Linked DNA regions of Saccharomyces cerevisiae S288C. The protein of the gene in region 2 interacts with the protein of the main gene of each other region in a biochemical or structural test. Each region holds a gene or a part of one and is shown on either strand. Other genes may lie near its edges.

Region 1 (3,832 bases), on a different chromosome or scaffold from region 2:
ATATCATAGGTACTGCATTGAGCGCGCTGCGGCTCATACTGCCGATGTTTTTACGACTGTGTCGCAAATCACTGCATTAGAAGCGGAGCATTTGTTGAAGAGGAAACCGGATGGCATTTTGCCCAATGGTTTGAACGTTGTTAAGTTTCAAGCAGTACATGAATTTCAAAATCTGCATGCCCTGAAAAAGGACAAAATTAATGATTTCGTCAGAGGCCATTTCCATGGTTGTTTTGATTTCGATCTAGACAACACAGTTTATTTCTTTATCGCTGGTAGATATGAATACAAAAACAAAGGTGCTGACATGTTCATTGAATCATTGGCTCGTCTCAATTACAGATTGAAGGTTTCTGGATCCAAGAAGACGGTGGTAGCGTTTTTGATCATGCCTGCCAAAACCAATTCCTTCACTGTGGAGGCACTGAAAAGCCAAGCCATTGTAAAATCTTTGGAAAATACTGTTAATGAGGTCACCGCATCCATTGGGAAGAGAATTTTCGAGCATACGATGAGATACCCTCATAATGGCCTAGAATCAGAGTTGCCCACTAATTTAGATGAGCTGTTGAAGAGTTCTGAAAAGGTTTTGCTGAAGAAAAGGGTATTGGCGCTGAGAAGACCTTACGGGGAATTGCCTCCGGTAGTCACACATAACATGTGCGATGATGCTAACGATCCAATTTTAAACCAAATTAGACATGTTAGATTATTCAATGATTCGAGTGATCGTGTAAAAGTGATTTTCCATCCTGAATTCTTAAACGCCAATAACCCTATCCTTGGTTTGGATTATGACGAGTTTGTTCGCGGCTGTCACTTGGGTGTTTTTCCATCCTATTACGAACCATGGGGGTACACGCCAGCAGAATGTACCGTCATGGGTGTCCCATCTATCACAACAAACGTTTCTGGGTTCGGTGCCTACATGGAAGACTTGATTGAAACAGACCAAGCGAAAGACTATGGTATTTATATTGTAGACCGTCGTTTCAAGAGCCCTGATGAATCTGTCGAGCAATTAGCAGACTACATGGAAGAGTTTGTAAACAAGACCAGAAGACAAAGAATCAACCAAAGAAACAGAACCGAAAGACTATCAGACTTGTTAGATTGGAAGAGAATGGGGTTGGAATACGTTAAGGCTAGACAGTTGGGTCTTCGTAGGGCCTATCCAGAGCAGTTCAAGCAACTGGTGGGTGAAACAATTAGTGACGCCAATATGAATACTCTTGCCGGTGGCAAGAAATTCAAGATTGCCAGGCCTTTGAGTGTACCCGGATCCCCCAAAGTAAGGTCCAATAGTACTGTTTACATGACTCCGGGCGATTTAGGTACCCTTCAAGATGCTAATAATGCAGATGACTATTTTAATTTGAGCACGAATGGAGCCATCGACAATGACGATGATGACAACGATACGTCTGCATACTACGAGGATAATTAAAACCATCTTAACTTCTGCTAACATATCTTACTCTTTTAGCTGAGCATCAAATTAATTTTAGTATTGCACGTTCTGTTATTCTTGTATAAGTACATAGAAATAATAGCAGTAGAAAAAATAGAAGTAATTTTACCTTTACAGTACATATGTGTTAGTATAAGGAACCTTTTACGTGGGATACTTTGCTTACGAAGAAAAGGCTGAAAAAAAAAAAAAAAGAAACTCCCCCCGCGTTTAGAATGGTGCAGCCGAGCTACCTACGCAGGGGATAAAAAGAACGAAAGCCACATCGACTACAAGCCAGAGTATAAATGGTTTCAATTCTCGTAGAGAACTCACAATTATATAATATTGGAAGACACCAGAAAAAATAACGAGTCAATTACTATGGACGACAAAGTTTCAGAAAAGGAGAGCTCCCCAAAACAAACAGAGGAGGATTCTGAAGGTAAAATGGCACATGTGCAGCCTGCTTCGTACGTGAATAAAAAAAAATATGTTTTTGGGAAGACATTAGGTGCTGGTACATTTGGTGTGGTGAGACAAGCCAAAAACACTGAAACAGGGGAGGACGTGGCCGTTAAAATCCTGATCAAGAAAGCACTAAAGGGAAACAAGGTTCAGCTAGAGGCTTTATACGACGAGTTAGACATTTTACAAAGACTGCATCATCCAAATATAGTGGCATTTAAGGATTGGTTTGAATCAAAAGACAAGTTCTACATTATCACGCAATTAGCCAAAGGGGGTGAATTGTTCGATAGGATTTTGAAGAAGGGTAAGTTCACTGAGGAAGATGCAGTGAGAATTTTGGTTGAAATATTGAGCGCAGTCAAATATATGCATTCTCAGAATATTGTTCATAGGGACTTGAAACCGGAAAATTTACTGTATATAGATAAAAGTGACGAATCTCCACTGGTAGTTGCTGATTTTGGTATCGCAAAGAGATTGAAAAGTGATGAGGAACTCCTCTATAAGCCGGCAGGCTCACTGGGTTACGTGGCTCCAGAGGTACTTACTCAGGACGGTCATGGTAAACCTTGCGACATTTGGTCGATAGGTGTCATTACGTATACTTTGCTTTGCGGTTATTCGGCGTTTAGAGCCGAAAGGGTTCAAGATTTCCTTGACGAATGCACAACTGGTGAGTATCCAGTGAAGTTTCATAGGCCTTATTGGGATTCCGTTTCCAATAAAGCAAAACAATTCATCTTGAAGGCTCTTAATTTGGATCCTTCAAAGAGACCGACCGCCGCAGAACTCTTGGAAGATCCATGGATTATTTGTACCGAATTGAAGACGCACAATTTATTGCCTGGGTTAAAGGAAGGATTGGATGCTCGTCAAAAGTTCCGTAATTCTGTTGAGAGAGTCAGATTAAACATGAAGATCCAGAAATTAAGAGATCTGTATCTTGAACAGACAGAGAGTGATTCAGATTTTGACGAAGGAAGTCAAGCAAACGGTTCAGTTCCTCCATTGAAAGCAACGGATACCAGTCAACTATCCAAGAAGCTATCAGAAGAAGAACAGTCTAAGTTGAAGTCCGAGTTAACCAGCAAAGCTTTTGCACAATTAGTTAACACAGTGCTTGCCGAAAAGGAAAAATTTTTAAATATTAACAGAGTCTGTAGTTCTGATAGCGATCTTCCTGGGAGTGATATAAAGTCTTTGGATGAGGCGAAGGAGAAACCAGAGGGGAAGGATACCAAAACAGAAGAATGATAACAGTATGCCGTTTTACCACACTGGCGAATAAATCTTCAATGACTTTGTAAGCTCGAATATGCGCAAGATTTGACTTTGATATTTTGCACTTTTTCGTCCTCACTTTCTACCTTTTTTTTTTATGCCTTAGTTGAAAAGATACGCGTATCTAATTATGTACTAATAGTCTTAATTTTACATTACTTAATTAATCGAAATGCAGCCTGTAAGGAGTTTCACAATCTTCACGTTCGTTGAAAGCTAGTTGTCTAAGTGCGCTGCCTTTTAACTCTACCATCATCAAAAGAAGAATCATTGTCGTTGTCATCATAAATATCAGCTTCGTCGTCTTCTTCATCATCGACATATTCCTCGCTATCATATTCCGTATTATAGTTTACAGTCTGTCGCTGTATCCTTCTCAACTGTCTCTTGCCTGGCTTCATGTCTGCAAATTGCACTTTCATTTGTTCAAACTGACGAAGAATGAAATAGTAATCAGATAAAAATTCCTTTAATATCTGTAACTTCTTTCTCGCAGTGTTATATTTTGCGTCTTTTGGTAGCGGGTTTGTATTTATGGAGGGATTATTATCAGTGGTAGATTTCTGCTCCAATATGTGCGCTTCATTATTCAGTGCTTCTTTTTCTTTTTCATTTCCCTCCTTTTTCTCA
Region 2 (3,372 bases):
AGGTCTGTAATAGCTACCGTTCTCAATGGATTAGTGAAAAATAATGATCATGATTTCAAGCACGAGTCTTTAAACACATTCATGTCGCCCTATGGAAGAAAATTGTGTCATGGTGCTTTATATGCCGATTTAAGGTCACATACTGCATCTCTACTTGCGCTTGGAGCAAGCATCGAAGATGTAACAGATTTATTTGCCGATTTACAGTCAGGTGATAGATTTGATGAGGATATTAGATATATGTTTGATTATGAATGTGAAGATTATGATGAATCTTTCTCTGAAAGCGATCATGGAGGATTGGATGAAAGCGTTGTTAACCCAACAGAAAAAATAGCATCTGGTAGTAATAATGTTTTCTTTCGGAGACGGTGCAATTGCATCTTCAATGATGATAAGTTGGTGGCAGAGGATGGTGCAAATGAAGCCTTTGGGTCAACAAATAGCGAAAACGTTGAAGGCGCAATGCATAATAATAGGAATGCGGTACATAACGCGACTACAGCCACTTCTGATCACGTCGTTACGTCACCTAACCCACTTTCCGTTAGATCAAGAAGTACTTTTGAATTTGACTATAGTGGGGAAGATTGGAGGGACGTTCCCAGAGATTTCAATATGTACTATTCGCCATCTTATTCATTCATCCATGAGCCTAAGTTAGATGTCATATTTAGTTTGACTCTACGTGGCGCAACAGAAAAGTTGAATAAGGAGGAATCCATATTGTTAGTGCGTTCAGTTGCATCGTGTGTAAGGAACGAGCAGGACCAAATGATTTTAGCAGACCTGGAGTCTAATTTTTCCGCAAGTATAAACGGCGATGTAGAAGGTGAAGGAAATACCAAAATGTCCAAGATAGATAATGAAGATCTCAGAAGAACCACGCCGGATGATATTTATGAAATATGGTCTGAAGAATCAGCATTTGAAAGGATGCTAAACGTGAATCACGACGTTGCGTGGAGATTAATGGATGAAATGTTAATGTGCACCGGTTATAGGAGAATATTGATATGGTTCCTTACGCATTTGGAGTTAAAACATTCGTTGATATATTACGTTTTTGAACTAATAATGGGGTTACGTGGAAAACCGTTTTCCGGAGAAGCCAGTGATCAAGATAAAAAGGATGATATGATATATGAGATCTTGAAGAAAAAGCAGAAGAATGAAGATGCTTCAGGACTTCCCTTTTCAAGGCAAGGACCTATCGTATTATCTGATATTGAGACTAAAATGTTACTGCAGGAGTTTTTTATGAATGCTGCTATTTTTTTGTCATCAAAAAATAACGAAGAAGAGAATGAAGACGGCGAGAAAATCTCCTTGTACTCCCTTGGTTTGGTTAGGTTGATCTGTTACATGGTGCAGACACTCATCGCGAACGACAAGTTTTTTTTTACCAAATCAGAATGCACTTTTGAGCTTCAAACTTTACTGATGACATGGATTGGCATCCTTCCTGAAGCCAAAGATTTATTCTTTAAGATCAAGACAAGGCTCGCCATGGAAGAAGAGGATAGTGCCGATACTATGCAGCATGAGGGCAGGAAGAACTCTGACATAGAGAAGAAGCTAAACGCTAAGCCAGCTTCTGAACTGAATCTGAAATTGTTAAACCTGTTTCCCTCAAAGCCTGCAAACAAAGACGATAGTTCCCCTATTAACACGTTGCGTAGTTTTATCGCTGATTACTCCTTCGACACCCAGGTGAACCCTCCAGGAAGAAGGGTGGTGTTCTACGATGGTAAGATTTTGCCATTGCCCAAAGCCGATAAGCCTATCCCACTTCATGAATATATAACACTCGCAGAGCTCGATGTTGGAGACAGTGAGTGAGCAGTGAATTGCTCATGTTTTCTCTGCATCCTCATTTAATGACAATTAGCCATGTAATAACATCTTGAGGCAGTTAAATATTCGTTACCCTGCAGGTGGCAAAAAATTTATAGAATAAAAGCATAAAAAGATGGATATCTATGTAATAAGGAAACATTGGCAGAGCGAAGAGAACAGACTGCTTTCTATAAAAAGTTTTCGATCAGTCTCTATTTTAATAATTGATTATTGGATATAGTTAGTAGTGTTAAACATGGGTTCCAGAAGATACGATTCCAGGACAACAATTTTCTCCCCTGAGGGACGTCTATATCAGGTTGAATACGCGCTAGAATCCATTTCACATGCAGGTACCGCAATTGGGATTATGGCATCTGATGGGATTGTTCTTGCAGCAGAACGCAAAGTCACAAGTACTTTACTAGAACAAGACACCTCTACCGAAAAACTTTATAAGTTAAACGATAAAATTGCGGTTGCCGTTGCTGGACTGACTGCAGATGCAGAAATTCTAATAAATACGGCTAGAATTCACGCTCAAAATTACCTTAAAACCTATAATGAAGATATACCAGTAGAAATTTTGGTGAGAAGGCTAAGTGATATAAAACAAGGTTACACGCAACATGGTGGTTTAAGACCATTTGGTGTGTCCTTTATCTACGCCGGTTATGACGATAGATACGGTTACCAATTGTATACATCTAATCCATCGGGAAACTATACAGGGTGGAAGGCTATTAGTGTTGGCGCTAACACATCAGCAGCACAAACCCTACTTCAAATGGACTACAAGGATGATATGAAAGTCGATGATGCCATTGAACTGGCTTTAAAAACGTTATCCAAAACTACCGACAGTAGCGCGCTGACTTATGACAGGTTGGAATTTGCTACTATCAGAAAGGGTGCTAATGACGGAGAAGTGTATCAGAAGATTTTCAAGCCTCAAGAGATAAAGGATATATTGGTAAAGACTGGTATTACCAAGAAGGATGAAGACGAAGAAGCTGATGAAGATATGAAATAAGGTTGGAAAGTATTGTTTGACTTCATGCTTATATAAATATGTACGCATAGAAACATATCTCTAAAATTAAAAGTGAAAGAAAAAAATCGCTAAGATTCCCCTTTCGGGGGAAGGCTGAAGAAACTTTTTTTTGCGCAAATTTCAAGATCGGAATCGCTCGAGAGGCAAATATAAAAAAGGGCCTGCTCGTTTGGCCTACTTGTTGTTGGATTCTAACTCCAATCTAATTTTGGCAGCACTTCAAAAATAAACAAAAGCGATGTCTGCGTCACTAGTGAATCGATCATTGAAAAATATAAGGAATGAATTAGAATTTTTGAAGGAATCAAACGTCATATCAGGCGACATTTTCGAATTAATCAATAGCAAGTTACCTGAGAAATGGGATGGAAACCAAAGATCGCCCCAAAATGCAGATACAGAAGAGTACGTTGAAGCTTTATATGATTTTGAAGCTCAACAAGATGGAGATTTGTCATTGAAAACAGGTGATAAAATAC
Region 3 (4,322 bases), on a different chromosome or scaffold from region 2:
GCGACTCGTCTCATATTTTTCCTGAAACTGTAGCTGTGTGTAATATTATTCATTAACTTCGATAATTCGGCTACAGAAGACAAGAGCTACATCCTTACTGGTGCGAATAAATGACATAATCTGTCAAGAGTACCGAAGTAAAAGCAACGATTGCCGAACACATCTTCCTGAAGTATCATATGCCAATACAAGGTTTCAATAGGAATTATGAAAGCGGCATTATCACCCTTAATCTGAAATATGTAATGATGACGGTGCAGTATGTTGACTACATTGTAAAGTTGCACTTTCACTCAACTCATGAAATTGATGACATTAATCCTACGTGACTTACACATATGCCATGAACGAAGAAGGTGGCACCAAAAATCCAGCGTTTCCGATATACACGCAGTCAAATGTTCAGACTAAACTTTGGTATTCTGACAACGTGTTGTCATACCTGTTACGAGCCAGAAACGTATTTCTTTTTGGGTGATACAATCTCCAGATGACTGCTTTTTTTTTTTTTACCCCAGATTCAGGGGCCGAAGGAACGGAAATGCGGTGTGGCGAGATTGCGGATGTGCTAAAAAATAATATCCTCGAGGCAACCAGCATAATGTGGACGGCTCTCGGCAATTGACTTCCATAACAAATGCATCCTGTAATCAGGGGTATTATAAGTTACTGTATGGTTAATTAAATATAGAATGAAAGGGGCAGCGTTCTTAAGGGGTATTGCTGGGTGGAAAAATACAAGTGTCTTTACTTGATTGTGTGCACATATATAAGGCAAAAGATTTCTAGCGTATATTTGAATCTTTTGTTCTTCCACGTTCAAATTTCTTTGGTCAAAACATTTCATAAAGGGACAAGTTCTGCATTGTATTCTAATAATTGCCCATAGAACATATAAATTAGGTATCGACTGTTTTCGTCTCCACTTTAAATGACAAAGAAGGATAAGAAGGAAGTAAAAGTTCAAACGGTTACCACGGAGGATGGTGAAACCGTGAAAGTTTTTGAAGACCTGCAGGGTTTTGAAACTTTCATTGCCAATGAAACTGAAGATGATGATTTCGATCATTTGCACTGTAAATTAAATTACTACCCACCATTTGTGCTACACGAGTCGCACGAGGACCCTGAAAAAATTAGTGATGCTGCAAATTCTCATTCTAAGAAGTTCGTGCGTCACCTGCACCAGCATATTGAAAAGCATCTTTTGAAAGATATTAAGCAAGCCGTTAGGAAACCTGAGCTTAAATTTCACGAAAAATCGAAGGAAGAGACATTTGATAAAATCACCTGGCATTACGGTGAGGAAACTGAATACCATGGTAGACCTTTCAAGATAGACGTTCAAGTAGTTTGCACACATGAAGATGCTATGGTATTTGTCGATTACAAAACACATCCTGTAGGCGCAAATTAAAGGTTGTGTCATAGAGAATGTGTTAGTACTGAATCCTAACCTCCCAAATTCATAAGTAGTTTTATGTACCTTTAATGATTTACGATTAGCAACTTTTTGAATTTTTTTTATTGAAATGTTGAGCCCGAAGACGTGAAACGCTATAAAGTAGTATCACTGTTACGCCGCGAAACCTGATAATGTATTGTTAAACTACTACCTGGTCGATGATTATATCGACGCTTCTAAAATGAATGCTATTACCCGAACTTCCACTTGATTGCCGTCTCTTCCCGGGTAACATTGTAAGTGTGAATATGATTTTTTTTTTTGCTTTCTCTTTTCAAAATTTCCGAAAAGCATATCAAGACGTGTACTACATACAGTAAAAGCCCTCCTAGGGTTTTCAGTAGTGGTTCGAATAGTATAGATTACTGCTTTTGTTACTCTGCAACAATCCCAAAACTTAATAAAAAGTACAAAAGACCAAATAAAAGTATCGTATATAATCCAGTCATAATGATGAATCCACACGTTCAAGAAAATTTGCAAGCAATCCACAACGCCTTAAGCAATTTTGATACGTCATTTTTATCGGAGGATGAAGAAGATTATTGCCCTCTTTGTATTGAACCAATGGATATTACTGATAAAAATTTTTTTCCTTGTCCCTGTGGTTATCAAATTTGTCAATTTTGCTACAATAATATCAGACAAAATCCAGAATTAAATGGCCGTTGCCCAGCATGTCGTCGTAAATATGATGACGAGAACGTCAGATACGTCACATTATCTCCGGAGGAGTTAAAAATGGAGAGAGCCAAGCTCGCTAGGAAGGAGAAAGAAAGAAAGCATAGAGAAAAAGAACGTAAAGAGAATGAATATACGAATAGGAAACATTTATCTGGTACCAGAGTTATCCAAAAGAATTTAGTGTACGTTGTTGGCATCAATCCTCCTGTTCCATACGAGGAAGTTGCGCCCACTCTGAAATCTGAAAAATATTTTGGCCAATATGGTAAGATAAATAAGATTGTGGTTAATAGAAAAACACCCCATTCTAACAACACAACCAGCGAGCATTATCACCATCATTCACCAGGATATGGCGTTTACATAACCTTCGGATCCAAGGACGATGCTGCAAGATGTATAGCTCAGGTAGACGGGACGTATATGGATGGCCGCCTGATCAAAGCTGCCTACGGTACTACTAAATACTGTTCTTCTTATTTAAGAGGATTGCCATGCCCAAATCCCAACTGTATGTTTTTGCATGAACCTGGTGAAGAAGCTGATTCTTTTAATAAAAGAGAACTCCACAATAAACAACAAGCGCAACAGCAAAGTGGCGGAACTGCATTCACTAGATCTGGAATACACAACAATATATCTACCAGTACCGCTGGTTCAAATACCAATTTACTAAGTGAAAATTTCACAGGCACACCTTCACCGGCGGCGATGAGGGCTCAGTTACATCATGACAGCCATACAAACGCTGGAACACCGGTATTAACACCTGCTCCGGTCCCTGCAGGGTCAAATCCTTGGGGAGTTACTCAATCAGCAACACCTGTAACCTCTATCAATCTCTCTAAAAACAGCAGCTCCATAAACTTGCCAACATTAAATGATTCTCTGGGCCATCATACTACCCCCACAACAGAGAATACCATCACAAGTACGACAACTACTACCAATACCAATGCTACAAGTCACTCCCATGGTAGCAAGAAGAAGCAATCTCTTGCTGCAGAGGAATACAAAGATCCTTATGACGCACTAGGGAATGCTGTTGACTTTTTGGATGCAAGACTACATTCTCTATCAAATTATCAGAAGCGCCCTATATCTATCAAATCCAATATTATTGACGAAGAAACTTATAAAAAGTATCCGTCTTTGTTTTCTTGGGACAAGATTGAGGCCTCAAAGAAAAGTGACAATACATTAGCCAACAAACTTGTGGAGATCCTGGCTATAAAGCCAATAGACTACACTGCTTCTGTCGTTCAATTCTTGCAGAGTGTCAATGTTGGTGTAAATGACAATATTACAATCACAGATAATACGAAAACTCCCACCCAACCAATAAGACTGCAAACCGTCTCACAGCAAATCCAACCACCATTAAACGTCAGTACCCCTCCACCGGGTATCTTTGGTCCACAACATAAGGTTCCTATTCAGCAGCAACAAATGGGTGATACAAGCTCAAGAAATTCCTCTGATTTACTAAATCAACTAATCAACGGAAGGAAAATTATCGCCGGTAATTAATCCGACTCTAAATATTTTTCTTGTTTGCATTAACCATAATTTTATCTATTTTTATTTCTCATGAATATATAATCTCTCCGTTTATAACGAAATGCAAGAAAAAAAAATCTCACCCATTTTTTTAAACCTTTGACGTGGAAAGGTATCTGGGAAAGGTATCTGGCTAATGAATAATGCCATAGCATATACCAGTATAGTCTATTTACTCGTTACAACGTATGAAAGCGTCAGCGCTGCAAGAATGACTAATTCATAGAAAATAATCATCATGATATATATCATAATGCACGGAACCTGCTTCGCTAATTTTTTCACTTAAATCACATTTTTTCAACGAAATCTCTTGCGCAGTTGGTTGGAATTCTTATCCGAATGACTCAGTCTACATCAAAAAACTGTGGCCGAATGGTGGTAATTGATGACTCTTCTATTTTTTTTTTTCATATAAAGAGCTTGCGCGCGTGTTGTTGTTCGCTATCCATTTCCATTAGGAACATTTTTGGATATTATTTTTCAGACCCGTAATATACTTAACACATATACCACTAAAGGCAAAAGAAAGAGAGATCTGAAGTGAGAAATAAGTCTGCATCATTATGCCATCTGCTAGCTTACTCGTCTCGACAAAGAGACTTAACGCTTC

Evidence for each region.
Region 1: the proteins of PRE9 (region 2) and CMK1 form a complex in vitro, tested with the Saccharomyces cerevisiae proteins (2 studies listed by BioGRID, with this or other methods).
Region 3: the proteins of PRE9 (region 2) and MOT2 form a complex in vitro, tested with the Saccharomyces cerevisiae proteins (one study listed by BioGRID).

Annotation. Positions count from the first base shown.
Region 1 is NC_001138.5:171,880-175,711, reverse strand, and holds CMK1 (calmodulin-dependent protein kinase CMK1), read left to right. Parts: upstream 1-1,834; coding exon 1,835-3,175; downstream 3,176-3,832. Other genes in the region: glycogen (starch) synthase GSY1, read left to right, coding at 1-1,447; IOC3 (Ioc3p), read right to left, coding at 3,427-3,832.
Region 2 is NC_001139.9:759,297-762,668, forward strand, and holds PRE9 (proteasome core particle subunit alpha 3), read left to right. Parts: upstream 1-2,095; coding exon 2,096-2,872; downstream 2,873-3,372. Other genes in the region: CCR4-NOT core subunit CAF130, read left to right, coding at 1-1,842; LSB1 (Lsb1p), read left to right, coding at 3,132-3,372. UniProt on the Saccharomyces cerevisiae protein: The proteasome degrades poly-ubiquitinated proteins in the cytoplasm and in the nucleus. It is essential for the regulated turnover of proteins and for the removal of misfolded proteins.
Region 3 is NC_001137.3:291,135-295,456, forward strand, and holds MOT2 (CCR4-NOT core ubiquitin-protein ligase subunit MOT2), read left to right. Parts: upstream 1-1,915; coding exon 1,916-3,679; downstream 3,680-4,322. Other genes in the region: RGI1 (Rgi1p), read left to right, coding at 932-1,417; ARG56 (bifunctional acetylglutamate kinase/N-acetyl-gamma-glutamyl-phosphate reductase), read left to right, coding at 4,276-4,322. UniProt on the Saccharomyces cerevisiae protein: E3 ubiquitin-protein ligase component of the CCR4-NOT core complex, which in the nucleus seems to be a general transcription factor, and in the cytoplasm the major mRNA deadenylase involved in mRNA turnover.